5 linked regions of the Macaca mulatta genome follow. Each later gene encodes a partner of the first gene's protein in a complex. Links are inferred from orthologs where the notes say so. Each region holds a gene or a part of one and is shown in the gene's direction. Other genes may lie near its edges.

What was found.
Region 2: TMEM67 (region 1) and TMEM231 share a complex: the UniProt entries of both Homo sapiens proteins name them as parts of the tectonic-like complex. The link is inferred for Macaca mulatta from reciprocal best matches to the Homo sapiens genes TMEM67 and TMEM231.
Region 3: TMEM67 (region 1) and AHI1 share a complex: the UniProt entries of both Homo sapiens proteins name them as parts of the tectonic-like complex. The link is inferred for Macaca mulatta from reciprocal best matches to the Homo sapiens genes TMEM67 and AHI1.
Region 4: TMEM67 (region 1) and CEP290 share a complex: the UniProt entries of both Homo sapiens proteins name them as parts of the tectonic-like complex. The link is inferred for Macaca mulatta from reciprocal best matches to the Homo sapiens genes TMEM67 and CEP290.
Region 5: TMEM67 (region 1) and TMEM107 share a complex: the UniProt entries of both Homo sapiens proteins name them as parts of the tectonic-like complex. The link is inferred for Macaca mulatta from reciprocal best matches to the Homo sapiens genes TMEM67 and TMEM107.

What each region holds. Positions count from the first base shown.
Region 1 is NC_133413.1:104,177,362-104,181,816, forward strand, and holds part of TMEM67 (meckelin), read left to right. Parts: intron 1-125; coding exon 126-191; intron 192-2,925; coding exon 2,926-3,082; intron 3,083-4,228; coding exon 4,229-4,352; intron 4,353-4,455. UniProt on the Homo sapiens protein: Required for ciliary structure and function. Part of the tectonic-like complex which is required for tissue-specific ciliogenesis and may regulate ciliary membrane composition.
Region 2 is NC_133425.1:70,905,957-70,911,056, reverse strand, and holds the start of TMEM231 (transmembrane protein 231), read left to right. Parts: upstream 1-1,774; coding exon 1,775-1,913; coding exon of another isoform or gene 1,914-2,007; coding exon 2,008-2,177; intron 2,178-5,100. UniProt on the Homo sapiens protein: Transmembrane component of the tectonic-like complex, a complex localized at the transition zone of primary cilia and acting as a barrier that prevents diffusion of transmembrane proteins between the cilia and plasma membranes.
Region 3 is NC_133409.1:40,602,063-40,606,978, reverse strand, and holds the start of AHI1 (jouberin), read left to right. Parts: upstream 1-1,590; 5' UTR 1,591-1,778; intron 1,779-2,111; exon of another isoform or gene 2,112-2,173; intron 2,174-4,916. UniProt on the Homo sapiens protein: Involved in vesicle trafficking and required for ciliogenesis, formation of primary non-motile cilium, and recruitment of RAB8A to the basal body of primary cilium.
Region 4 is NC_133416.1:95,386,076-95,391,049, reverse strand, and holds the start of CEP290 (centrosomal protein of 290 kDa), read left to right. Parts: upstream 1-1,648; 5' UTR 1,649-1,823; intron 1,824-1,928; exon of another isoform or gene 1,929-2,118; intron 2,119-2,404; 5' UTR 2,405-2,431; coding exon 2,432-2,533; intron 2,534-2,699; coding exon 2,700-2,777; intron 2,778-4,172; coding exon 4,173-4,242; intron 4,243-4,545; coding exon 4,546-4,592; intron 4,593-4,974. UniProt on the Homo sapiens protein: Involved in early and late steps in cilia formation. Its association with CCP110 is required for inhibition of primary cilia formation by CCP110.
Region 5 is NC_133421.1:9,691,861-9,696,828, reverse strand, and holds TMEM107 (transmembrane protein 107), read left to right. Parts: upstream 1-1,642; 5' UTR 1,643-1,734; coding exon 1,735-1,821; intron 1,822-1,997; coding exon 1,998-2,065; intron 2,066-2,148; coding exon of another isoform or gene 2,149-2,166; coding exon 2,167-2,267; intron 2,268-3,104; exon of another isoform or gene 3,105-3,203; intron 3,204-3,370; coding exon 3,371-3,467; intron 3,468-3,712; coding exon 3,713-3,782; 3' UTR 3,783-4,037; downstream 4,038-4,968. UniProt on the Homo sapiens protein: Plays a role in cilia formation and embryonic patterning. Requires for normal Sonic hedgehog (Shh) signaling in the neural tube and acts in combination with GLI2 and GLI3 to pattern ventral and intermediate neuronal cell types.

The sequences.
Region 1 (4,455 bases):
CTTAACTTTTCATATCCTTGATACATTACATAAGTATGATGTAGAGCATATATCCATGTTTGGGTGAGTATAAGAATAGAAAACAGTTGTGAGAGATATTTATGTGTTGTATTATTTTACTGTAGCTTTGTCCAGACACAGAAACAAGGCTAAATGCTGCTTATTCATTTGGAACAACCTACCAACAAAATGTAAGTTTGAACTATATTAGACTATATTTTAGCTTTATTTTTCAAAATATCATATCAGCAGTAATTGGAATAATACTTAAATTTTGAGATTGGAATTTTTTTTTCTTGTTTTTGTTTTTTGTGTTTTTTTTTTGAGATAGAGTTTTGCTCTTATTGCCCAGGCTGGAGTGCAGTGGCGCGATCTCAGCTCACTGCAACCTCCGCCTCCCAGGTTCAAGCGATTCTCCTGCCTCAGCCTCCCGAGTAGCTGGGATTACAGACGTGCCACCATGCCCGGCTGAAGACGGGGTTTCTCCATGTTGGTCAGTCTGGTCTCGAACTCCCCACCTCAGGTGATCTGCCCTCCTCAGCCTCCCAAAGTGCTGAGATTACAGGCATGAGCCACTGTGCCTGGCCGGAAATGTTTTTAATAGTGATGAATAATTTCACTAATTAATATAATTTTTTATTACCTGGGTACAGAAAAGCTTAATTTCAGTGGCATAAACAGAGCACCTTGTTATCTATAGAGGTTTTTGTTTTGTTTTGTTTTGTTTTGTTTTTTGAGACAGAATCTCACTCTGTTGCCCAGGCCGGAGTGTAGTGGTGCGATATTGGTTCACTGCAATCTTGGCTCACTGCAATCTCTGCCTCCTGGGTTCAAGCAATTCATGTGCCTCAGCCACCTGAGTAGCTGGGACAACAGGCATGTACCACCACACCCAGCTAATTCTTGTGTTTTTCATAGGGATGGGGTTTTGCCATGTTGACCAGGCTGGTCTCAAACTCCTGGCCTCAAGTGATCCACCAGCCTCGGACTCCCAAAGTGCTGGGATTACAGGTGCGAGCCACCTCGCCCAGCCTAGAGTCTTAAACATCATATAATACATCTTCGTAATAAATTGTTTATCTGCTTCTAGGCTTATAGGTCTTAAAAAGTAATGCTTACTTCTGAGCATTTTGAAATAACGTAAAAATGCTACTTTTTTTTAAATGACTAATAAAGGTTACTCCCTTCTTCTACCCCCTAATAACAAACAAAAATAATTCCTTCATCTTCCTCCATTTTTTTCTTTCTCCTTCCTTCTCTGACATTCCTTACTTTGGTACCTATTTTGAAATTACATTATCTTACTAAGGAATATTATGAGCCATTAAATACTTGAAAGACATGCATGTATTAGTCCATTCTCACACTGCTAATAAAAACACACCCGAGACTGGGTAATTTACAAAGGAAATAGGTTTAATTGGCTTACAGTTCAGCATGACTGAGGAAGCCTTAGGAAACTTATGGTGACAGGAAGAGAAATACTGAGCAAAAAAGGGAAAAGCCCCTCATAAAACCATCAGATCTCATGAGAACTCTTTCACTATTATGAGAACAGCATGAGGGTAACCGCCCCCATGATTCAATTACCTCCCTCCAGTCCTTCCCATGACACATGGGGATTATAGGAACTACAGTTCAAGATGAGATTTAGGTGGGAACACAGCCAAACCATATAAATTCATTAGTCTGTAAAAATATATCTTGATAAAGTTCCACACACAACCATAGAACAAAACCACAACAAAAAATACCATTATGGAAAGTAGATTGGAAGAATCTACTAACAGTGATTACCTCTGGATAGTGGGGTCAGAAATTGTTTTTGTTTTCTTGTTTATAATTTCCAAATTTTCTACCATGAACATGAATTTACTTCTTTTGTCAGAAATGATTTACATGTTGTTGTTGTTGTTGTTTTTAAAATAAATGTTATTGTGCTTCTAACATAGGCCAGAAAGATCAACATTTATGTAATGCCTGTCTCTGTGTGCTCAGCATTTTATCATTATTATTCCATTTGATTCATAAAATAACTATGTGAGATACATAATATCTGTGCTTCACAGATGAGGAAATTATGCCAGGTAATTAGGTAATTTACTCAAAGACTTGTGTCACATAAACTGTGGAGCCAATGTTCCATCAGGTTTAAAAAGCATTTTTATTTCATTGAACCTGGCCAACTCTCAAGTTCTTCATAGTGTAGTAGGCAAAACAGTTATATAGACAAAGAATTGCAAAGAATGTAAGTGTCATTCTATAGGTTTGTATAAGGTACTGATTCCTGGGGAAGTATAGAAAGGCTTCACAAAGTAAGTGATACTTGGGCTTGTATAATGAATATGAGTTTTCCAGGAGAATACAGTGGGGAATGAAATGTCAGACAGAAGCCACATTTGCAATGACAGAGAGGCATACAGTAGCATGGCATATTTAGAAACTACAAGTAGATTAGTATGAATGGACCACCATAGACAGATAGGGAGTAATGAGAGAGAAACCTGGCTTGGTTAATGGAAGGCAGATCATAGACATCATTGTACAGCAGGAGAAAAAATTGGGAATTTATCCCATAGGACAGTAGTTTTAAACCTTTTCACTGATGTACACTTAATATTGAGAATGAAAACATACCTCCTTCATCTGAGTTGAGGCTTAAGAAGTTTTCAAAGTTCTCAAAGCAGTTATTTACTATTAGTGTTTTTGGTCCTTATAAAATAATCATATTTACAGTATTCAGGTTTTGGAAGGCAAATGGAAATGCATATAAACAAGGTAGTATAAAGATATTTTGCACAACTAGAAAAACATTCTGAAGATAATAAATATGCTTGCTAATTTTCAATTGTGATTTTTTTTTTTTGCTTTTTAGTACTTTAAGTTGCTGTTTTATGTGCTTTTATTTTTAATTTTACTTTTCAGTGTGAGATTCCTATCTCTAAGATCTTAATTGACTTTCCCACTCCTATATTTTATGATGTGTACCTTGAATATGCTGATGAAAATCAACATCAATATATTTTGGCTGTGCCTGTGTTAAACCTAAATCTTCAACACAATAAGATATTTGTGAACCAAGGTAAGACATCCATACATACCACTTTTTTCCCTGAGCAGAAATCAATAAATAAGTTAACCTACACGATAATTTAATAAACCACATAAGAAAGGTCATGAATTCTCTCTTATATGGTTCTATACAATGTACCAAAAAATAAAACAATATATTGATGGTGGATTTAGAAACTTTTACTAATTTTATTACCAGACATATCGTGAAGAAATTATACTGTTGCTGAGGGTATATCCTGAGAAACATTAGTATAACTGTAAATTGGGGCTTTTTCTTCAAGCTGTCCTGAATATGCTTTTTTGGACAAATTAGTTTCTTTTGTTATTACTCATATTATAAAATTCCGCTTTTTCAGGTAATTTGCAGGGAAAAGCCTTCCAAATTTATGCAAAGTTCAAACAATCAGAAGACATTCAAGTCCAAGGCGCAGTGGCTCACACCTATAATCACAGCACTTTGGGAGACCAAGAGGGGAGAATTGCTTGAGCCAAGAAATTCAAGACCAACCCAGGCAACATGATGAGAACCTGTTGCTACAAAAAAAAAAAAATTAACTTGGTGTGGTGGTGCAAGCTTGTAGTCCCAGCTACTCTGGAGGCAGAGGTGGGAGGATCACTTGAGCCCAGGTTGAGAATGCAGTGAGCCATGATTATGCTAGTGCACGATAGCCTGGTCAACAGAGTGAGACCCTGTCTAAAAAAAAACAAAAGAGGCCGGGCACGGTGGCTCACGCCTGTAATCCCAGCACTTTGGGAGGCTGAGGCAGGCAGATCACGAGGTCAGGAGATCAAGACCATTCTGGCTAACATGGTGAAATCCTATCTCTACTAAAGAATACAAAAAAATTAGCTGGGTGTGGTGGCAGGCACCTGTAATCCCAGCTACTCGGGAGACTGAGGCAGGAGAATGGCGTGAACCCAGGAGGCAGAGCTTGCAGTGAGCCAAGATTGCGCCACTGCATTCCAGCCTGGGCGACAGAGTGAGACTCTAAAAAAAAAAAAAAAAAAAAAAATCAGAAGACATTCACATGAGTTAGAGAAGGCCATTGTCAGGTGTTTCTTATACTAGTAGCTTTTTGCAGCCATCTTATCTAAAACAATAATTTTATCTTTTAAATTTGTACAGTAAACTTTTTTCTTTTTATAATAAAAGACAGCAACTCTGGCAAGTGGCTTCTAACTCGGCGCATTTTCTTAGTGGATGCAGTAAGTGGACGAGAAAATGACTTAGGAAGTCAGCCAAGAGTAATTCGAGTTGCTACCCAAATATCACTGAGGTAAACAAATGTCTAATGATATTATTTATGGGAAAATATAATGGAAGTGTTTGCCAGTCATTAGTAGATGAAAACAATAAGGACAACTGAATTGGAACAGTTG
Region 2 (5,100 bases), on another chromosome or scaffold:
CACCATGCCTGGATAATTTTTTTTTTTTTCTGTGACACGGAGTCTCGCTGTGTCGCCCAGGCTGCAGTGCAGTGGCATGATCTCAGCTCACGGCAACCTCCACCTCCCAGGTTCACGCCATTCTCCTGCCTCAGCCTCCCGAGTAGCTGGGACCACAGGCACCCGCCACCACGCCCAGCTAATTTTTTGTATTTTTAGTAGAGACGGGGTTTCACTGTGTCAGCCAGGATGGTCTCGATTTCCTGACCTCGTGATCCACCCACCTGGGCCTCCCAAAGTGCTGGAATTATAGGCGTGAGCCACCGCTCCCGGCCAATTTTTGTATTTTTAGTAGAGATGAGGTTTCACCACGTTGGCCAGGCTGGTCTTGAACTCCAGACCTCAGGTGATCGGCCCAACTTGGCCTCCCAAAGTGTTGAGATTACAGGCATGTGCCACTGCGCCCAGCCATTCAGGGCCATTTGATGAAGAACTTGGCTGTGGACCATAGTTGTTTTTTTTAAAGTCCTTCTACCATGTTCGAAATATGGTTGGGGGCGGTGGGGGGTGTAAGCATTCAATTAAGCAATATGCCAGTGATCTCTGGGGAGGACCACAGCTTCCTATAAAACTCGCCGCTGAGCTTGTACCCAACACAGGGTTAACAAAGTGCATCAGAGCTTTGTAATATTCCACTCTATCCCTCCAAGAGCCAGGGGATTTGTGTTTCCGTGTCTTGTCTTGCATTGGAGCATAGTGGAAGCAAGAGAAAATCTGGGAGCAAAGACACCTGGCTTTGGTCTTAGCCCAGGACCAGGTCCAGGACCGCGGCCAGGCTTGTGACTGAGTGGATTTCAGTAGGAACTACACTGGGGATTAACAGATGACACAAAAGCAGGTGTTTGTTGTGTGCAGGAGCGCGAGGGGAGAAGAAAAGGCACACACACAATACCTTTAAGGGTAAGCAAGCTTTATCCCACGTAAATGGCAATGCAGATATTATAATAAGCAAATTAATATAATAAGCAGATTGATATAAGCAAATTGCAATGGGAAGAGGAGAAGGAAAAAGACATATATATATTTACACTCATCAGACTATGGAGGATTCACCTCCAGACTGGGAAGCAAGAGCCTGAGCTCCAGAGCCGGCCACTCTTCAGTCAGTGCCCAGATGAGAAGAGGTGTCATGAAGCTTTGGGTGGTCTGGGATCCTAGCTCTTTTTGTAACATGTTGTCTGACATGAGGCCCAGTCACGAGGGCCCTTCGTGGCTGGGCTCAAGGAACACAAAAAGGTCAACTTGTTTTTGTGATTGTTGTTTTTCAATAACTAACGTATAGGAATAGAACGAAATAGAGATTTCTGCGAAACAGCGCTGGATGAACGCCTCAAGGGGCTCCCACAACCTGTTTCGGAACTTGGTGACCATTGTTTGTGTCCATGTCAGTTCAAATTTAAATATTTAATTTTTCCTCCTCAGTGTTCAAGTCAACTTTTATGGGCATCTTATTTTACACAAATGTTAACACAGACAACAGCCACGACTTTGGTCCACGGAAACGTTCTATCGCCGCCCAGCCTTTACGCAAAGGGACACAGCTTGAAAAGCTAGGCCGGCAGTCCCCGGCGGCGCCACGCCCGCTAACCCCGCCCTCGCCGCTGGCTCCTTTCGGTCTGGCCTTGCTATTGGCTCCTTTCCGGGAGCCGTCGGTTGCCGTGGAGACCGAGGCGATGGCAACCAGGAGAAGCCAAACTTGGTCCTCCGGCTCGCGGCGTGCCGGCGCGCGGTGCTCATGGCGCTCTACGATCTCTTCTCTCACCCGGTCGAGCGCAGCTACCGCGCGGGACTCTGCTCCAAAGCCGCGCTGTTCCTGCTGCTGGCCGCTGCGCTCACGTACATCCCGCCGTTGCTGGTGGCCTTCCGGAGCCACGGTGAGCCTGCCCCAGCCGCTGTGTCACGCGACTCCCCGGGCGCGCTCGGCCGGGGCCGGCCTCCCTGACGGCCTCCCCACCTTCTTTAATTCAGGGTTTTGGCTGAAGAGGAGCAGCTACGAGGAGCAGCCGACCGTGCGCTTCCAACACCAGGTGCTGCTCGTGGCCCTGCTGGGACCCGAGAGCGGCGGGTTCCTCGCTTGGAGCACGTTCCCCGCTTTCAACCGGCTGCAGGGGGATCGCCTGCGCGTCCCGCTCGTTTCGGTGCGTGGTTCCCGCCTGGGCCTGGGGCAAAGCGGGCGGTGGGGTGGGGACGGGGACGGGAATGAGGATGTGGGGCGAGCGGCCCCGGCCCTGGGGAACCCAGCTTGGATCCTAAGGACTCGCGAACCCGCAAAGGTGGCGTTTCATCTCCTGGGACCTAGGGAATCGATTTTCTGTTTCATTCTGCTTCTCCCAGACGTCCCCGGCCCCCAGAAAGTTAGCCACGCTGTCAGCATATGCGCCCTGATACAGAGTCCAGAGGTGTGGAGGCAGCCTGCGTCTGCCCCCGTCACACCCGCGGGCCTGGCCTGATGGAGGGTGTTTGTGAAAGTCCATTTAGGAGCCTTGAAGGCAGCGCGCTGTTAATGTAGGTAACCCCATTCTGTCGCGGCGTTTCTGCATCACACCACTGTAGGAGCGGAAAGGGCGGCATTTTTATGGAGCCCTGACCCCTGGAAACCAAGGCGCTGATTGGTTAAGCGGCCTTCCCAGAACGCGCTATGGCCGAGTCACGCCTCCCTGGGTTTGTCCCATTGGAGACTGCGTCATCCTGAAGCTGTCGGGATGAAATTGAAGCATGTTACTGTCTGTAGTTTATTTATTTATTTTTAAATTTTTCATCAGTAGAGTGCTGAGAGGAATCTGTAATTTAGTATTTGCTTTGAGATAAGCGAATGCTTCCTTTATAGTCACTCCTTTTCACTCATTTTCTGAAAACGTTTTCCTTTAGAAGTATGACACTTACGGTTTTCCTTCTTTCAAAGTTGAATCTCTTCAGACATCTCTAAGATGATTGCCCTACAAGCCAACCTTGTATAGCTGAGGAGAAAAGAAAATCAGACTTGTTCCCAGCAACTAAATAAAATTGTTTTTAAAAATCCGATTGGGCCGGGCGCGGTGGCTCACGCCTGTAATCCCAGCACTTCGGGAGGCCGAGGCGGGCGGATCACGAGGTCAGGAGATCGAAACCATCCTGGCTAACACGGTGAAACCCCGTCTCTACTAAAAATACAAAAAATTACCAGGCGCGGTGGCGGGCACCTGTAGTCCCAGTTACTCAGGAAGCTGAGGCGGGAGAATGGCGTGAACCCGGGAGGCGGAGCTTGCAGTGAGCCGAGATCGCGCAAGTGCACTCCAGCCTGGGCGACAGAGCGAGACTCTGTCTCAAAAAAATAATAATAATAAATAGAAATAAATTTTTAAAATCCAATTGGTCATATAAATAACTGCAAAAAAAAAAAAGAATAGTAATAGGTTGGCGCAAAAATAATTGCGGCTTTTGCCATTAAAAGTAGTGGCAAAAAAACCGGAATTACTTTTGCAACAACCTAATATGATTCAGGTTACTTTTCTCCTGTTACTTTACGAATGTTCTTATGTTCTGATTACAAAAGTGCATGCTCATTCTAAAATAATATAGAGTTACAGGTAGATATAATGACCAAAATTGAAGGCCCAGTTTTGTATATGTATCAATACTTATTAATCAGCCATATTCTTTTTGAGGTTTGTTTTGACTTTTTCACTATTGGGGACAACATTTCTTTTTTTCTTTCTTTCTTTTTCTTCTTTTTTTTTTTTGAGACGGAGTCTTGCTCTGTTGTCCAGGCTGGAGTGCAGTGCTGCAATCTCTGCTCACTGCAACCTCCACCTCCTGGGTTCAAGCAATTCTCGTGCCTTAGCCTCCCGAGTAGCTGGGATTACAGGCTAATTTTTGGATTTTTAGTAGAGAAGGGGTTTCACCATGTTGGCCAGGTTAGTCTCGAACTCCTGACCTCAGGTGATCCACCCGCCTTGGTCTCCCAAAGTGCTGGCATCACAGGTGTCAGCCACCGTGCCTGGCCTAGGGACAATATTTCTGTGAACAAGGTTTTGACTAAATCGTATGCCTTTAAACATCAGATTGTGAGGAATTGGAATAGCAGCTCTTTGATGAAATTAGGTAAGTACATAGAAAACTAAGCAAATCATTATTAACTGCAGGGAAATGAAAAGTAAGGAAAACTGAGAACTGAAAACTTATGAGAGTTGTGAATAGGATTTACATAGTCTTAATTATATGAACACTGAATGTTGACTAAAAAGAGATTTTAACTCTGTTGGGGGTAATGAGAAAGGTATTGAGAATGTGATAGGGGATGGTGGGAGGAGTTGGGGGAGAGAAGAAGCTAAATCATCTTTCCTTGTGGGAACTCAATAGAGAATGCCTAAAACTGAGAAATTGAGAATTTTCAATGCAAATGTTATCTCAAGACCTGGAGATACATTTCTAAATGATCAAGTAAATGAGATAAAAATATTTGCAGCTAGATATGATAGCTCACACCTGTAATCCTAGCACTTTGCAAGGCCAAGGCAGGAGGATTGCTTAAGCCCTGGAGTTCAAGGCCAGTGTGGGCAACATAGCAAGACCCCACATTTCAAAAAAATAAAAAGTAGGCTGGGCGTGGTGGCTCACGCCTATAATCCCAGCACTTTGGGAGGCTGAGGAGGGCGGATCACAAGGTCAGGAGATCGAGACCATCCTGACTAACACTGTGAAACCCTGTCTCTAGTAAAAATACAAAAAAAAAAAAAGTTAGCTGGGTGTGATGGCGGACGCCTGTAGTCCCAGCTACTTGGGAGGCTGAGGCAGGAGAATGGCGTGAGCCCAGGAGGCAGAGCTTGCAATGAGCCGAGATCCCACCACTGTACTCCAGCCTGGTGACAGAGCAAGACTCCGCCTCAAAAAAAATAATAATAATTAATTAATTAATTAAAAAAGAAACCGAGAAGTGGTACAATTTGCCCTAGCTTTTTTTTTTTTTTTTTTTTGAAACAGAATTTCACTCTGTCAGCCAGGCTGGAATGCAGTAGCACAATCTCAGCTCACTGCAACATCTGCCTTCTGGGTTCAAGCGATCCTCTCACCTCAGCTTCCCAA
Region 3 (4,916 bases), on another chromosome or scaffold:
AAAATACAATGTAAACTATGAAAATATAGAATGAGTATGCAAAGTCTAATATACGGAATGAATATCCAAAATCTAATAAGGAGTAGGAGTATTTGAAGGAGTCAGTCAACCTGCTTAAGATTCGAAGGATGGACAACATTTGACTGTGATATGCAGTAGTGTAAAAGGAGGAATTTTCAGGAAGAGAGAACAATATGTGTAAGGACAGGGCGTGCAAGGCTATGGATTGTTTTTCATAGTACACATAATTCAATGTTGCATAAAACTGCATGATACACATGATTCAATATTGCATAAAATTGGAACAATAAGCTAATGAGAGATGAAATTAGTCAGGGAGATGGAGCATATTGTATCCTAGGCAAAGCAATCATTTTCTCTTACACGTTGCCTTTCAAGAATTTTCAGCAAGAGAGAGCCATTATCCGATTTACATTTTTAGTCAGGACATTCTGATAGCAGTGTGGGGAATTTTAAGAGTCAAAACTGGAGTCACAGGACTGGTAAAGCGCCCACCTGAGGAATTTAAAAAGAGAGAATGAATATGCTTTGGTATAAGATGCATTTAGAATACTCTACAGTTCTTACTAAAACACTGGGAGCAAGTGTTTGACACTTGATAGTGCAAGATTACAGCAAGATAGTGGTGGCTTACAGCAAGATAGAAATCTAGGAGAGTAGGTTTAGAATGCAAAGTTGAACAGCTCAGTTTGTACACAGCGGATTAGTAATCTTTCTCGTTGCTTCCTCAAAGGATTTAGGGAAGCACATGGCATAGAGATATAGTTTGTAAGGTGTGGCAATGCCAGTGAGAATGGAAAAGCTGGCCTCCATAAACTCTCTCTCTGTACAAACGAAGCAACAGGTTACAGCGCGTGGCTGTAGGTACAGGAAATGGCGTGTATTCATGAGTCCACGAGTAGCGCAACTAGTATTTTTCCAGCCCTGGTGACTCAGAGCTGAAGATGGCGCCTGCGGCAGAAATCAGAACAGTGGGAGGGAGCGTTAGGTACAGAAAAGTATGGCGTTTTAACTTTTGTTTTCCACACACAGGGAGATAGCTCTAAAGGAATCGTGCATAATTTTTTCTTAAGATTTTGTCTGTAGTACAACTTCATTTTCCACGCTTTAAAATCATGTTTTCTTTTGTGGGCGCGACCGCGTGGGGAGTGACAAATCTGTTTATTTGCCTCATTCATTGATTTTCTTATTTTGGGCGACTTCCATAACAGCCTCCCCAGTTTTCCTTTGCCCCGTCAGTTTTTCCCTGCGCTTGCTACAATTCTAAGGCGGAAAGAGTATTTTTGGAGGTGAAGGCGGGGAAGACTCAAGCTCTGTGGGAGCACCCGCGCATTTCCGACTCCCTTCCCGCTCGCACGGCCTCGGAGGCTGGAGGCCCGTAAGGTCCCCGAAGCGCGCGCCCACCAACAGCCTGAGGGCCCCGGTGCAGGCGCCGCGCGGCCCCTTCTCCCGGGCGGAGGCGAAGGCGGTGGCGGCGCGGGGGCGGGGGCGGGGCCGCGGTCCGGGCCTAGCGCGCGAGACGCGTCGGTCGCCATGGGAACGGCGGTGTAGGCAGGCGCTGACGTCAGCAGGCCGCGAGTCGTCCGCACTGCGGCACAGAGCAGTGGCTTGCTCTCCGAACCCGGGTCCCTGGCGGGTAAGGTGGCTTCGTGGCCGCCTCACTTAGCGCCCGCGCCGCTGGGCGCGGGGGAGTCGATTTGCACTGTTCCGGGTGTCGGCTTGGGCGGGACGGACGGTTCTGCCTACTCCTCCTCTCCGTAAGTACCTCGTGGGTTCGCTGGTGGCGGGAGCGCGGGCCGGGGTGCTCGGCCTGCCCGGCCCTCTCTGGGGCGGCGTGTCGGGGCTGCTGGAGTCCGAGAGCGCGGGGGCTGATCGCGGATTGACCGGGGAGCGTGGGCCGGGTGTCCCGGAGGAATGCGATTTCCCGGAGTCCTCAACGTACTTTTCCGCTTCTTTCACTGGTCTCGGTGTCTCCGGAGAGTTGAGCATGGTGTTCTGATAGGGAATTCAATCTTTGCCTTTCCTACTCCCGATTCTTGTTTAAATGCTTTTAAATCAGATGCGTACTGAGTGTGTTTATTTCCTTTTAGAGTGTCATCCTGGGGCTGAATCTTCAACCTGTCAAAGCCTACTTAATTACGTCTGAGAAAAGGTGATCAATTTGTTAAACTTATAAGAGCCAGATTATATTAATAGGGTTGTTTCGAGATGCATAAAAATAGAATAAAAATGTAGACCATTTAAGCATCCTTATCAAAGGTTGTGCTGCGTTTGGCATTCCTGTGAAAACATCTAATGTGAAAATAAAGTTTTTCCCTTTTGAGAAAGAGATGCCAACAGTTTTTTCACCTGTTGCATTAGCAGTTACTGTTATTGCTTGGTTTAGGAGGAAGATTGCTTCTTATGAGTACTCTGGGAAATTTTTTAAAGAATGCTTGAAAAAATTAAAATACCAAAAGTGTTTTTAAACCATACTTAGAATCTTGTTTATGAAGAATAATATTTATGAAGTTAGAATCTTGTGTACTTATGAAGAATCTTGTTGATCTATTCATTGAATGTTGTGTACAGGATTTTTGTTTGTCTTTTTTTCCCTTGCGATAACATTTGGTTAAAGAGGGAATTATCAAGCCTCTCAATTTTTTCTCCCATTGATATTGAGTCACATATTGGCTGATAATCAGGTGGTCTGTAAAATAAAATGAAATGAGGTGTAATCCATTTAATTTTCCTACATAGTATCTCTTAGAAGCTCCTGTGAAAGGGTTTGTGAGGGAGAAGTTGTAAAATAATGGAATATATAAGATTCGGAGGTTTCTTTTAAAGTCCGACCTGAATTTTCGCAGATAATGTTACTAATTAAATATTAGTCATTAATTCTATCATATGTTTGCTGTAGTACACATTAAGATTTAGAGATGGCTGGGCGCAGTGGATCAGGCCTGTAATCCTAGCACTTTGGGAGGATCAAGAGTGGGTGGATCACTTGAGGTCAGGAGTTCAGTATCGGCCTGGCTAATGTTGGTGAAAACCCATCTCTACTAAAAATACAACAATTAGCCGGGCGTGGTGGCGCACAACTGTAGTCCCAGCTGCTAGGGAGGTTGAGGCAGGGGAATTGCTTGAACCCAGGAGGCGGAGGCAGCAGTGAGCTGAGATTGTGCCACTGCACTCCAACCTGGGCAACAGAGCAAGACTTTGTCTCCAAAAAAAAAAAAAATTAGAGATGATTTCTATAATGTATTTGCTGTGTTATTAAATAATATTAGTATTTATTCAGTTGTGTATTAAGCTATTAACAGTAAATAATTCTATGATTTCTGTATTTTATTAATAATTACTTATTTTTAATACAATAATACTGGACATAAAGTAATTTTATTGCAGTGTACTCATTACTTTGCTTTTTGGTATTTTCTCCTTGCAGTACTAAAACAGGTGCCATTTTAAATTCCCAGACAAGGAAAAACCAAGGATTAGAAATTAAGTAGCTTACCCAATGCCACACATCAGTAAGTGGTGACACTGGAGGTCAAACCTGAGTCTTTTTTACTCTAGGACCGTTGCTACTGCTTCGCTTTGCTTTGCTTCTCGTGTTTTCTCTTCTCTCTCCTCTTTTCTTTCATAGTGGCAGATACATAACTATAGAGAGCATTGGCGTGGCCTCCAAAGCTAGCAGTTTGGTGGGAGACAGAACATTTAACCAGGATGAAAATTCAGGGCTGAGGTGGAGGGAGTTACAAAGATTCAGGCACCCTGGGAGCACAGAAGAGAAGTGCTTCACCGCCCTTCAAGGTGCGAATGCTCTCTAGAGAAGATACTTGCCTTCAAAGGATAATGAGGAGTTTGTTAGAGTGACAAAGGAGGAAGGACATTTTTCAGGAGAGGGGATATATGTGTAATGATACAAAAGCAAGAGAGGACGTGGCACATGTGAAGGCCTGGAGGTAGTTTCACATGGCTGGAACACAGTGTATGGTGTGAAGGGGACATTTCATAAATGGCCTTGGACCTCAGTGGTAAGGACTTGATATTTTTTTCAGTGTGTGATTGGGAGCTAGTGAAGAATTTTAAGCAAAGAAATGACACCGTCACATTTGAATTTTAGAAAATTACACTGATTGCTGTGTAGATGATGATTTATTTTTTAAAAGGGTAAGGTGATAGTGGCATGGAAACAATCTTAAAACAAACAGCATAATCCTTCCACAGTGTTTTTGTCCCAGAGTTACTGTCTCATGTCACTGCCTTTAGGGGTGGTGGAAAGACAGTTGGAAGAATTCTGTAAAGAATTGTCTACATGTCCCTTCTACAGGGGTCACCTTCCATTCACCCCTCAGCCCCAGCCTGCTAGGTTTCTGCCCCTCCATAAACAGCTTTGACACACGTGACTTCCTTCTTGCAGATTCAGTGGACTTTCTTCAAAACCTCCAGCCCCTTTTGATGCCACACAGTATATAGGCTACATCTCCTTTAAAACTCTTTCCTTCTGTAATGCTTCTGTCTCCCCGTTTTTTACCTGTCTCCCTGATTTTACTTTATATTGTGGGCTCTCAGGATTCTCATTGGCTTTTTATTTTCTTGCAACTATCATATTTATAAATAACTCCCAAATCTTCAGCCTAGGGTCTCCCTGCTGGATTAATAGATTGCCTAATAAACATAATATGATTATATACATAAACACAGACACACACATGTGACAGTAATAACAATTGTTCTTTTTGAAGGGTTTGCCATGTGCTAGGCATTGTGCCAAGTATTTTACTTGCATGTTCTCATTTAATCTTTGTAAAAACACTGAGTGATTTATTATTGTGAAAGATTAGGAAATTGATGTCCCTAGAGATGAATCTGCTGGCAGGTAGAACTGGTATTTGGATCCAAGGATCTGA
Region 4 (4,974 bases), on another chromosome or scaffold:
AGAACCCCTTTCCAGAAACATCATCTCATGTTAAATTATGAATTAAGAACACTGAACATGAAGAATATTTAATTCAAATTAATTGAGTAAACACGTACAAAATTAAAATATAACATTTAATAAAAACAGCAAGATTGAGGCACAAGCACTTCACAAATACTGGTTTCCCAGAATGTCTGAGGAGGTGTATAGAAGTTAAGAATATGTCCTCCAGCCAGAGAGATCTGTGTTCAATCACACTATTTAAGTTAGAGTACTTAGCTTCTCCAAACCTCAGTTTCTTAACTTAGATGGAAAATGAGGACAACGTAAGCACCTATTTCACTGGATTGTAAGGAAGAATAAACAAGATAATGAATAGTATTTGGCATAAAATCTTTCAGAAAAGTAGTAAAATTGTCATTCCTATAAATCTAACTAATGTCTTTAAAATTTATCTCACAAAACCAGTATATTTTTATTTTGTACTGAGCTATTTATTTTACCCAAATTGGGAGTTTAAAAAGAAATTCATTACTTATTTTCGAAAGGAAAATTTACCATCAAGTATAGTAAAATTTTTTTTAAAGCAGCGTTAAAAAAAAAAAAAAAGAAAGATGAGAAGCACTGGTACAGATAGTTGGAAATGTCATTTAGATTTAAATCTACAGCTTCTTAGGAAAGTTAGTTAGAGGTGTATCGCACTCCAGTATGGCTATGAGCAGATGAGCAAAACTTGCACAAGTAAGCGTGGTAAACACCAGAGAAGGCGCTTTCATGGAAGGACACCCTAGGTAACCAAGCAGTGACAATAGTACAGGTGAGTCCTCGGGTACCTTCTCTCTCCACCCCCGGCAGTGGCCCGGACAAGCACTAACCTCTCCTCTCTAGAGCCTTCCCTTTATACTAGCTCCACAACCATCAAGTCCCACCATCTGCGAAGGGAATGGTGCTACAGGTAAGGCTGGCGGGGTCAGAGGATGCCGAGACCTCTTGTCAATTCTTCGCTCGCCCCCAAACGAGGATCACGGCTGCGCGGCTCTCACTCTACCAAGAAAGATTCTGATACTAAACAAGGCTAAAACTTTTTGTTTTTTCCTTCTTACAGAAGGCACTACCTTGGACGCCGCCTGCAAACGCCTGAAGAGAAGGCAGGGTGTTTCCACTTTTTCAGAATGGGGCCAGGCCCTACGGCCCCAATAGCAGAAGCTTCTCTAACCCAGACTGCTGCCCTCAACTCCTCCTGATACGCTGACCCACAGCTCGACCTCACCTGGAAGCGGTTCCGCCAGGGGATGGCTTAGGAAAACCTCATGAAGAGCGGCCCAGCGAGTGACGCCACTAAAGCCACAGTCATGGTCTACCTCGTTCAGGCCACCAGCTCGTAGGCGCCTCAGCCACTGCGCCTCCCGCCTCTCGGTCCTTCCCCGCCGCCCCGGTACCGTCGCAGCCTTCCGCGTTGCACGCCGGGAGCGCCTTATCTCCTCTTCTCAGGGACTTCAGTTCCCAGCATGCACAAACCTCAGGCACATCTGCACTCTGGGATTTGGAGTCCTCGTTCCACGCCTTCTCATCATCCTGAACACCGAGTCCTGGGACTCCGGCGGAGAATCTAAACGTAAAGCATCACCCACGGTCGTGAATTGTAGGCTCTCTTTGCATCCGGGATCTTCTTCTGGCCCCGGCGGAGTTAGGGATGGTGTCGCTTAGCAGCCGCTGCCGCTTTGGCTTCCTTGGGGACCATTTGGCTGGACCCAGAGTCCGCGTGGAACCGCGATAGGGATCTGTCCAGCTTGGTGGTTGTGGTAGTGAGGGACCTCCGCTGGTTGCCAGGCTTGGTGTAGGTGGGTGGATCCCTGTAAGCAGGATCAGCGAGTCACTCCACGTTCAGGTTCTTTAGCCTTAGGGCCCGTGTGCCGCAGCGCAGCTACCCCGTCCCTTCCAGCCTCGGGTCCGTAATCCTGCCTTACTTCGGTTCCGGTTTCCGCCGCACAACTTCACTCATTCCAATTGTTAATTTCTGCTTCTTTTTTTTTTTTTTTTTCCAGCCCCAATTCTGCTTCTCCAAATCAAGGATCATTGTCAGCCTTCCACAGACCCTCGCGCTTGCCAAGATTAGGGTGTTCGCGCGCGTTGTGGGTAGGCGGTGTGGAGGAAGGGACCCAGAAATCTTAGTCCTAACTTATATTAGTGTTAGCAAGGAAGCCGTCACATTTTATTTAGCCGGTACACTCTCTGACAGTTTGTGCCGACTGCTATTTTTGATCAAGGCTATTTTGCCCACTTGTCTGTTTTGTGGCTAAGGCATAGTTCTTTGCTAACATAAGAAAGTTATAATGAAATAATCTGCAAAAAATGTAGGCTATTAGAAAACCAATAATGCTGTGTACCTTGAAAATGCTAATATCCACCTGTTTTGTTACAGAGGTGGAGCACAGTGAAAGAATTCAAGATGCCACCTAATATAAACTGGAAAGAAATAATGAAAGTTGACCCAGATGACCTGCCCCGTCAAGAAGAACTGGCAGATAATTTATTGATTTCCTTATCCAAGGTGCTTACTTGGTCAATAATAATAGATATATACATTAACTTATGATTATTAATAAAATATGAATTTTTTTTTCAGAAACAACTATTAATTGTCACAATCTGGAAGAGTTCTTATATTTTGCTTAAAGGTTATAAAATATAAAACAGTTGCTTTTCTGTTTACTTAGGTGGAAGTAAATGAGCTAAAAAGTGAAAAGCAAGAAAATGTGATACACCTTTTCAGAATTACTCAGTCACTAATGAAGGTTTGTATGTAGTAGGTTTTAATGATAGGTTTGGCTATTAGAGGAACTATAAAAATCTGTTCTTATATAAAGTAATCTTTGTGAAAATACTTGGTAATATCTACATCACCCCTCAAAAGTGCAATATATTTAAATGTAGATTAAGTATTTTAGTATGTAAAACATTGCTAGTTTCTACTTAAAGTTTCTAAAAGGGTATGTAGGGGAAATAGAATGAGTATGTTGAAAAATAACATAAGGAAATATATCCTGAGGTCCAAATGACAAATGCAGACAATGACTGCTATAGGGATTTGTTAAGAGGGGAAGTGATCTAAGAGGTGTCAGAAGACTTCACAGAGGATGAATACTGAGGAGTAGTTTTAGGTAAGTGGAAGGTAATGCAGTGGTAAGATAGTAAGGGAATTCTAGAGCTGTTGGTTACCATAAATAAATATTGAGGATAGGAAATAAGTTTATTCTTTACATTTGAGGAAATGCGGTGCAGCAAGTTTGTAGCAGGCTGTAGAGAAAACAAATCTTGGGTAGGTACTTTGAGATAGGTTCTTGAGGTCATTAAAGGTGTATTTTATGCTGTCAGCAATTGAGAAGGCGTTTTCGAACCACAGTTGATAGGTACAAAAATAGGCCTTAGGAAGGCAAAACTGAGTCTATTATATAGGACAAACTGAAGGAAATCGGAGCTTTGCAAACATCACATTATAGAGGAGTTTAAACCTGAAATTATGCATTAGAATAATAGCAATTGGAACAGAAAAAAAGTAGTGGAAAAACATTACAAAGAGATATGTTGCTTTACTGGATATAAGACTTGAGGACTTGAGGTAAAAGGGAGAATCAAAAATGTTTCATGCTATTAAAAATCTAGAAATTGTCGTCTTAAGTAAGAAAATTGCCTGGCATGGTGGCTCACGTCTATAATCCCAGCACTTTGGGAGGCCAAGGCAGGAGGATTGCCTGAGGCTGGGAGTTGGAGACCAGCCTGGATAATATAGTGAGACCTTGCCTCTACGAAAAAATTTGCTGAGCATGATGGCACACCAAGCATGATGGCATGCCGAGCATGATGGCACGCTGAGCATAATGGCATGCACCTGTAGTCCCAGCTACTCAGGAGACTGAGATGGGAAGATTGCTTGAGCCCAGGAGGCAGAGGTTGCAGTAAGCTGAGATTGTGCCACTGCACTCCAGCCTGGGTGACAAAGTGAGGCCCTATTTCAAAAGCGAAAAAAAAGGAGAGAAAAAATTATTTATTCATTCAACAAATATTTACTGAAAGTCTCCATGTGCCAGCCATTGCTGGCACTAATGAGCATAAGAAAACAAAATTTTTATTTTCAGTGCTTACATTCCAGTTTAAAGGCATATTGAAATAAACTTTTTTTAAATGTTTAGATGAAAGCTCAAGAAGTAGAGCTGGCTTTGGAGGAAGTAGAAAAAGCTGGAGAAGAACAAGCAAAATTTGGTAAGCACCTTGGAAAAAGTTTATTATGTTATTAAATAATGAGTTCCATTTGTTCATTAAGCTGTAGAAAATTAAATTCTATAAACTGTATATATTCAATTTATTTTTAATATATAACATTTATTTAATAATACATATTTCTAGACTCCTGTTTTATGGATCTGCCGTATAATACTTTTTGTTACCTTATAATCATGATGGACTCTTTTAAAAGAATTAATTTTGTTATTAAAATTTATGTAAAAGTTTGTTCTGTGGTAACTAATCAATTAAAACATTTGTCTTTTTTTTTTTTTTAAATAGAAAATCAATTAAAAACTAAAGTAATGAAACTGGAAAATGAACTGGAGGTATGTCTTTTTGTGTTCCCTAGGATGTAATTGTCATTAATTTTATTTTGAATTGTTTTCAAATTTTAAAATTATTATTGGCTGGAAAAATGATAAGGATGATTGTAATCATGGTTATTTGTTTATTCAGTATATGTTCTACATGCCTATTATGTGCTATATATATATTGTACTAAGGATTGAGCATACGGTTGTGAACAAAATAAAAAGCAGTTAACTGCTGAATGGAGCTTACAGTCTTGGGAAATATACAGAAAGATTACTAGTAACTGAGGTGGAGGGTGGGTGGGCATTTGAGGAATAATTACCAAAGGGTGTTATAGAAGTAATTTTTGACAAAGCTGAGGGCTAAAATATGAATATATTGTTGAGGAACAAAATA
Region 5 (4,968 bases), on another chromosome or scaffold:
CAAAGTGCGGGGATTATATGCGCGAACCACCACTCCCGGTCAATTTCTGGCCAAAGTTTCTAAAATAAAGTTTAAGAATAAATGCCCTATTTTTATAGAATTATAAATGCCCTACTTTTATAGAATTATAATTCTAGCGTTTCCTTTTTTTTTTTTTTTTTTTGAGACGGAGTTGTGCTCTTGTTGCAGAGGCTGGAGTGCAATGGCACGGCTCACTGCAACCTCCACCTCCCGGGTTCAAGCGATTCCACTGCCTTAGTAGCTAATCGAGTAGTAGTAATCGAGTAGCTGGGATTACAGGCACGCGCCACCACATCCGGCTAATTTTGTATTTTTAGTGGAGATGGGGTTTCAGCATGTTGGTCAGGCTTGTCTCGAACTCCTGACCTCAGATGATCCGCCCTCCTGGGCCTCCCAAAGCGCTGGGATTACAGGCGTGAGCCACTGTGCCTGGCCCGCGTATCCCTGTTTGTAGCACCTATTATCTTACGGATTTATTTGTTTGCATGTCTGTTGTTGATCTCCCTGACTAGAATACTATTACTAGGTAATAAATAAATATATAAAAATATTTGTTGAAGGAATGAGAAATGCCTCTTGGGCTTGTACTTTAGTCTGGCTAAAGGCACTGAGACGTCGAGTGGGAAGTAGGAAGATATTGTTCTCCTGGGAAATGGGCCGGGAGTTTCCTTGAGGATGGGACTTGACTGAGCAATTAGAGAAGAACTTTCAGATCTGCAGGGACCTGCGCTGAGGCCCAAAGGTCATGACGTCGCCGGTGATAAGAGCTTCCTGGACTGTAGCTGGGCAATGTCGGAGGTCCAGCACCTCCAAGAGATAAAGAAATCTAAGTTGAGTTTCCCTTCCCGTAGGCTCCAAGCCTCCCAGAGACGCAGGGACTGTACCATTCCCTTCGTCCACTCCCACCTTTCCAGCCACCTTGCTTTGCTCTTATTCCCACGCTAGTTTAAGGACGCTGACCACTTTTTGCACTCTGCAAATCCTTCACCAAACTGAGCAAAGTAGTCTGAGAGAAATCAGTCTTCCTCAAGGAAGGTTCAGGCCTAGGGTCCTCAGACAACCAGGGGCTCTGTGACAATCTGTAACTGCCGAGCAGTCCAGGAACACCGGCCTCTCCACGTTCGGGTCCCTTGTTTCTCAGGCCCAGCTTGGTGGGAAGTTAAAGGCATGAGGAGAGGAGGAAGGGGAGCGGGTGTGAGTCTTCGGCATGGCGGGGACCTCAGCCCGGCGTGGCGGTGGGAGTGATCTCAAGTGATCCACAACTGGGCAGCGTAGCTGGGGCTGGGGGCCGCTCCCGGCGTGGGCAACCGCGGAAGCAGAGGTGTCCCCAGGCTAGGCCAGGGTGGGTTTCCGTTCGTCGGCCCTGCGTGGGCAGATCGGGCGCTGCGGGGCTGTGCCACCCCTCACCCTCTGAGAAACAAAGGGCCTGGCTGCGCACGGGTACCCAGCCATTGGGTTAGAAGCTCCTTCGGGTACCCCTGACCTGAGTTAGCCCTGAAAGACCCACAGCAGATGGAGAATGTACTGCTCTCGCGAGGTTTTCCGAGAACGCGGCAGCACGCCCGCGTACGCGGTTACCAAGGCAACTGGGCGGTGCCTGAGCTGGCGGAAAGGAGGAGTTCGTCTAGATTTGTCCGCTTGCTGGTGGACTTGCGGGAGTCGCAGTCTCTGAACTTCCAGCCTCAGAGACCGCCGCTCTTGTTCCCAAGGGCCATGGGCCGGGTCTCAGGGCTTGTGCCCTCTCGCTTCCTGACGCTCCTGGCGCATCTGGTGGTCGTCATCACTTTATTCTGGTCCCGGGTAAGACCCACGGCTGCCCTCCGTCCGCCCCCATTCCCATCTCGGAGTCGTCCCCGCCCCACCCTGCCCCTCTCCCAGTGTCTTACCCACTTGGGTTTTCTCGTGTTCCGCCGTCCCTAGGCCTGCCCAGCAGCCTGCCCCTTTTTCACTTCTCTTCCTCTCTGCCCTGCTCCCAGGACAGCAACATTCAGGCCTGCCTGCCTCTCAGGTTCACCCCCGAGGAGTATGACAAGCAGGACATTCAGTGAGCTCTTGGGACGGGGTGGCCAGAACGAAGAGGTGGTGGGAGTGGAGGGGTCTTAGAAGAAGTCCAAAGGCCTGGGCCAGTCCACTTCCTCTCTGCAGGCTGGTGGCCGCGCTTTCTGTCACCCTGGGCCTCTTTGCAGTGGAGCTGGCCGGTTTCCTCTCAGGAGTCTCCATGTTCAACAGCACCCAGAGCCTCATCTGTATCCTTTCTGCCTGCCCACCTTTCCCACACGACCCATTTCTATCAGGACTCCCTTCAGCCACCTGACACAATAGTGTCTGCTGTAGCCAGTCTCTCCAGTTCAAAGATCTTCAACCATGTGCTAAATCCTGCTGTTTACTAGGCACTTAAAATTCCGAAATGAGAGTAAAATACAGTTTTTGGCCAGGCACGTTGGCTCACGTCTGTAATCCCAGCACTGTGGGAGGCCCGCGCAGGAGGCAACATAGTTAGACCCCGTGTCTACAAAATAAATAGTAATAATAAAAACTCCACTTTTTTTTTTTTTAACCATGAGGAGGTAGATACACATCTGTAATTCAGTGTGATAAGCAGTGTGCTATGGGAGTGTGTAAAGATAGCACAGGCAGGGTGCGATGGCTCACGCCTGTAATGCCAGCACTTTGGGAGACCGAGGCAGGTGGATCACCTGAGGTCAGGAGTTCAAGACCAGCCTGACCAACATAGTGAAACCCTGTCTGTACTAAAAATACAGAAATTAGTCGGGCGTGGCGGTGCACTCCTGTAATCCCAGCTACTCAGGAGGCTGAGGAAGGAGAATTGCTTGAACCCAGGAGGCAGAGGTTGCAGTGAGCCGAGATCGTGCCACTGCACTCCAGCCTGGGCGACAGAGCAAGACTCTGGCAAAAAACGAAAGATATAAAGCACATTGGGAACTCAGAAGAGGCAACGGAAGCCAGGCACATGGGTCAGAGAATTGTGGACCAGGAGGACCAGGACACTGGAGGCTGATTCCAGCGCATATCAAGTCGCTGTCAGCACTCCTGTGTGGCATAGCAGGAGAGCCTACTCTTACCTCTCATCTGAAGGATCCAGGCTGGCCCCTAGATATGGAGTAGGGTAGCCTGAGATCCCATCTGCGCAGTCACTTCTGGTCTCTCCTCACATGACTGTCCTAAAATTCAGAAGTCGGGGATGCTGACTCTAGCCCTTGCAATATGGTGAGGGAGCAAACGATGAACCTGAATGCAGATGCCAACCCCACCACTGGCCTTTGGCCTTTTCTGACCCCTCACTATCTGTCGATCCAAAGACTTTCCTTAACTGTGGTGCCTTCTCAAGCCATTGGGGCTCACTGTAGTGCATCCGTGGCCCTGTCCTTCTTCATATTCGAGCGTTGGGAGTGCACTACGTATTGGTACATTTTTGTCTTCTGCAGGTGTGGTAGCATCCAATATTCGGGAATGAGGGAGGAAGGCTGACCCTAAACCTGAGGGTTTTTCCCCTACCCAGCCCTTTCCTCTATGTGGGAGATACCAGATCCACTTAACATCCTGTAGTCTTTTGAATTTTCATTCCCTACCCCATGCCACCTGTCCTACACTTTCAGGGGTGGGGTCTCTGGTTTGGAGATTTGGGTATTTATATTGAACGGGTTTCTGAATCTACCACTTGCCTCGGTAGTGCCCTTCCAGCTGTCACTGAAATGACTTTATTCGTCACCGTCTTTGGGCTGAAAAAGAAGCCTTTCTGAGCACCTTCATGACGGGAACCTAAGGACGAAGGCTACAGGGGCAAGGGCCGCTTCGTATTCCTGGAAGAAGGAAGGCATAGGCTTCGGTCCTCCCCTCGGAAACTGCTTCTGCTGGAGGATATGTGTTGGAATAATTACGTCTTGAGTCTGGGATTATCCGCATTGTATTTAGTGGTTTGTAATAAAATATGTTTTGTAGTAAGATTAAGACATATACAGTTTTCAGGGCACAATTGAAATGGCGAAACTACTGAAGAAAAAAAAAGAAGCAACGTTATTTTCTAGTTCTGCAGACCGTAAGATACTTGGTATCGCTTCTATTTTGGTTATTACGGTAGTTGTCTGGCGGAAGGGAGTGGGCGGAGATATGTAAATAGAAAGTGCTTACAGTTAGAACGTCCAGCACGTAAATGATCGGAGCATTCTGGGAAAAAGAAATTTATTCCTTTTCGGCAGCCGAACGAAAAAATTCTTTTAAAAATGTGCAAGCAAATATGGCAATACAACTGGAAGGATGCTAAGTAGTAGGGTTACTTATACCAACGCGTCGTGAACTCACCCTAGCTGTAAACGGAATCTTTTTGACTGAGTGCGGAATGTCGGCTATTTAGAAATATCGTCAGGTGGGATAATCCTTACCTGTTCCTCTTTTGGAGGGCAGATTAGAACATGATGATTGGAGAATGCATGAAACGTGATTAACGTCTCTGCGTAATCAGGACTTGCAACACCCTGATTGCTCCTATCTGATTCTTCCTGACGATCGCTTATGTTTCTGTTATGTTGATTGTTAGTTTAGTTAATGTAGTTATCATGCGGTGCAGGGAATAGTTTTCGTATTTCGCTATTTTGTGATCTCGCCAAATTTACCTGGTTTTGAAAATTGTGAGTTGTATTTGTTGCTTACTGGGACTTAGGAGGTAGGATTGTGCAAATGGACTCCCGTTGTTCTTTGTCGTTTGATACTTTGACGCTTCACCTCTTCTCAGGAAACACTGCACATCAGTAAAAATCTGTAATCTAGTGCACAGGATGGTTCCCCTTAGGATGATACTCATTCAATAGGAACGGTTTTTGTTTTTTGTTTGTTTGTTTGTTTGTTTGTTTGTTTTGAGGCAGGGTCTTGGTCTGTCGTCAGGGCTGGAGTGCACTGCACTGATCTCGGCTCACTGTAACCTCTGCCTCC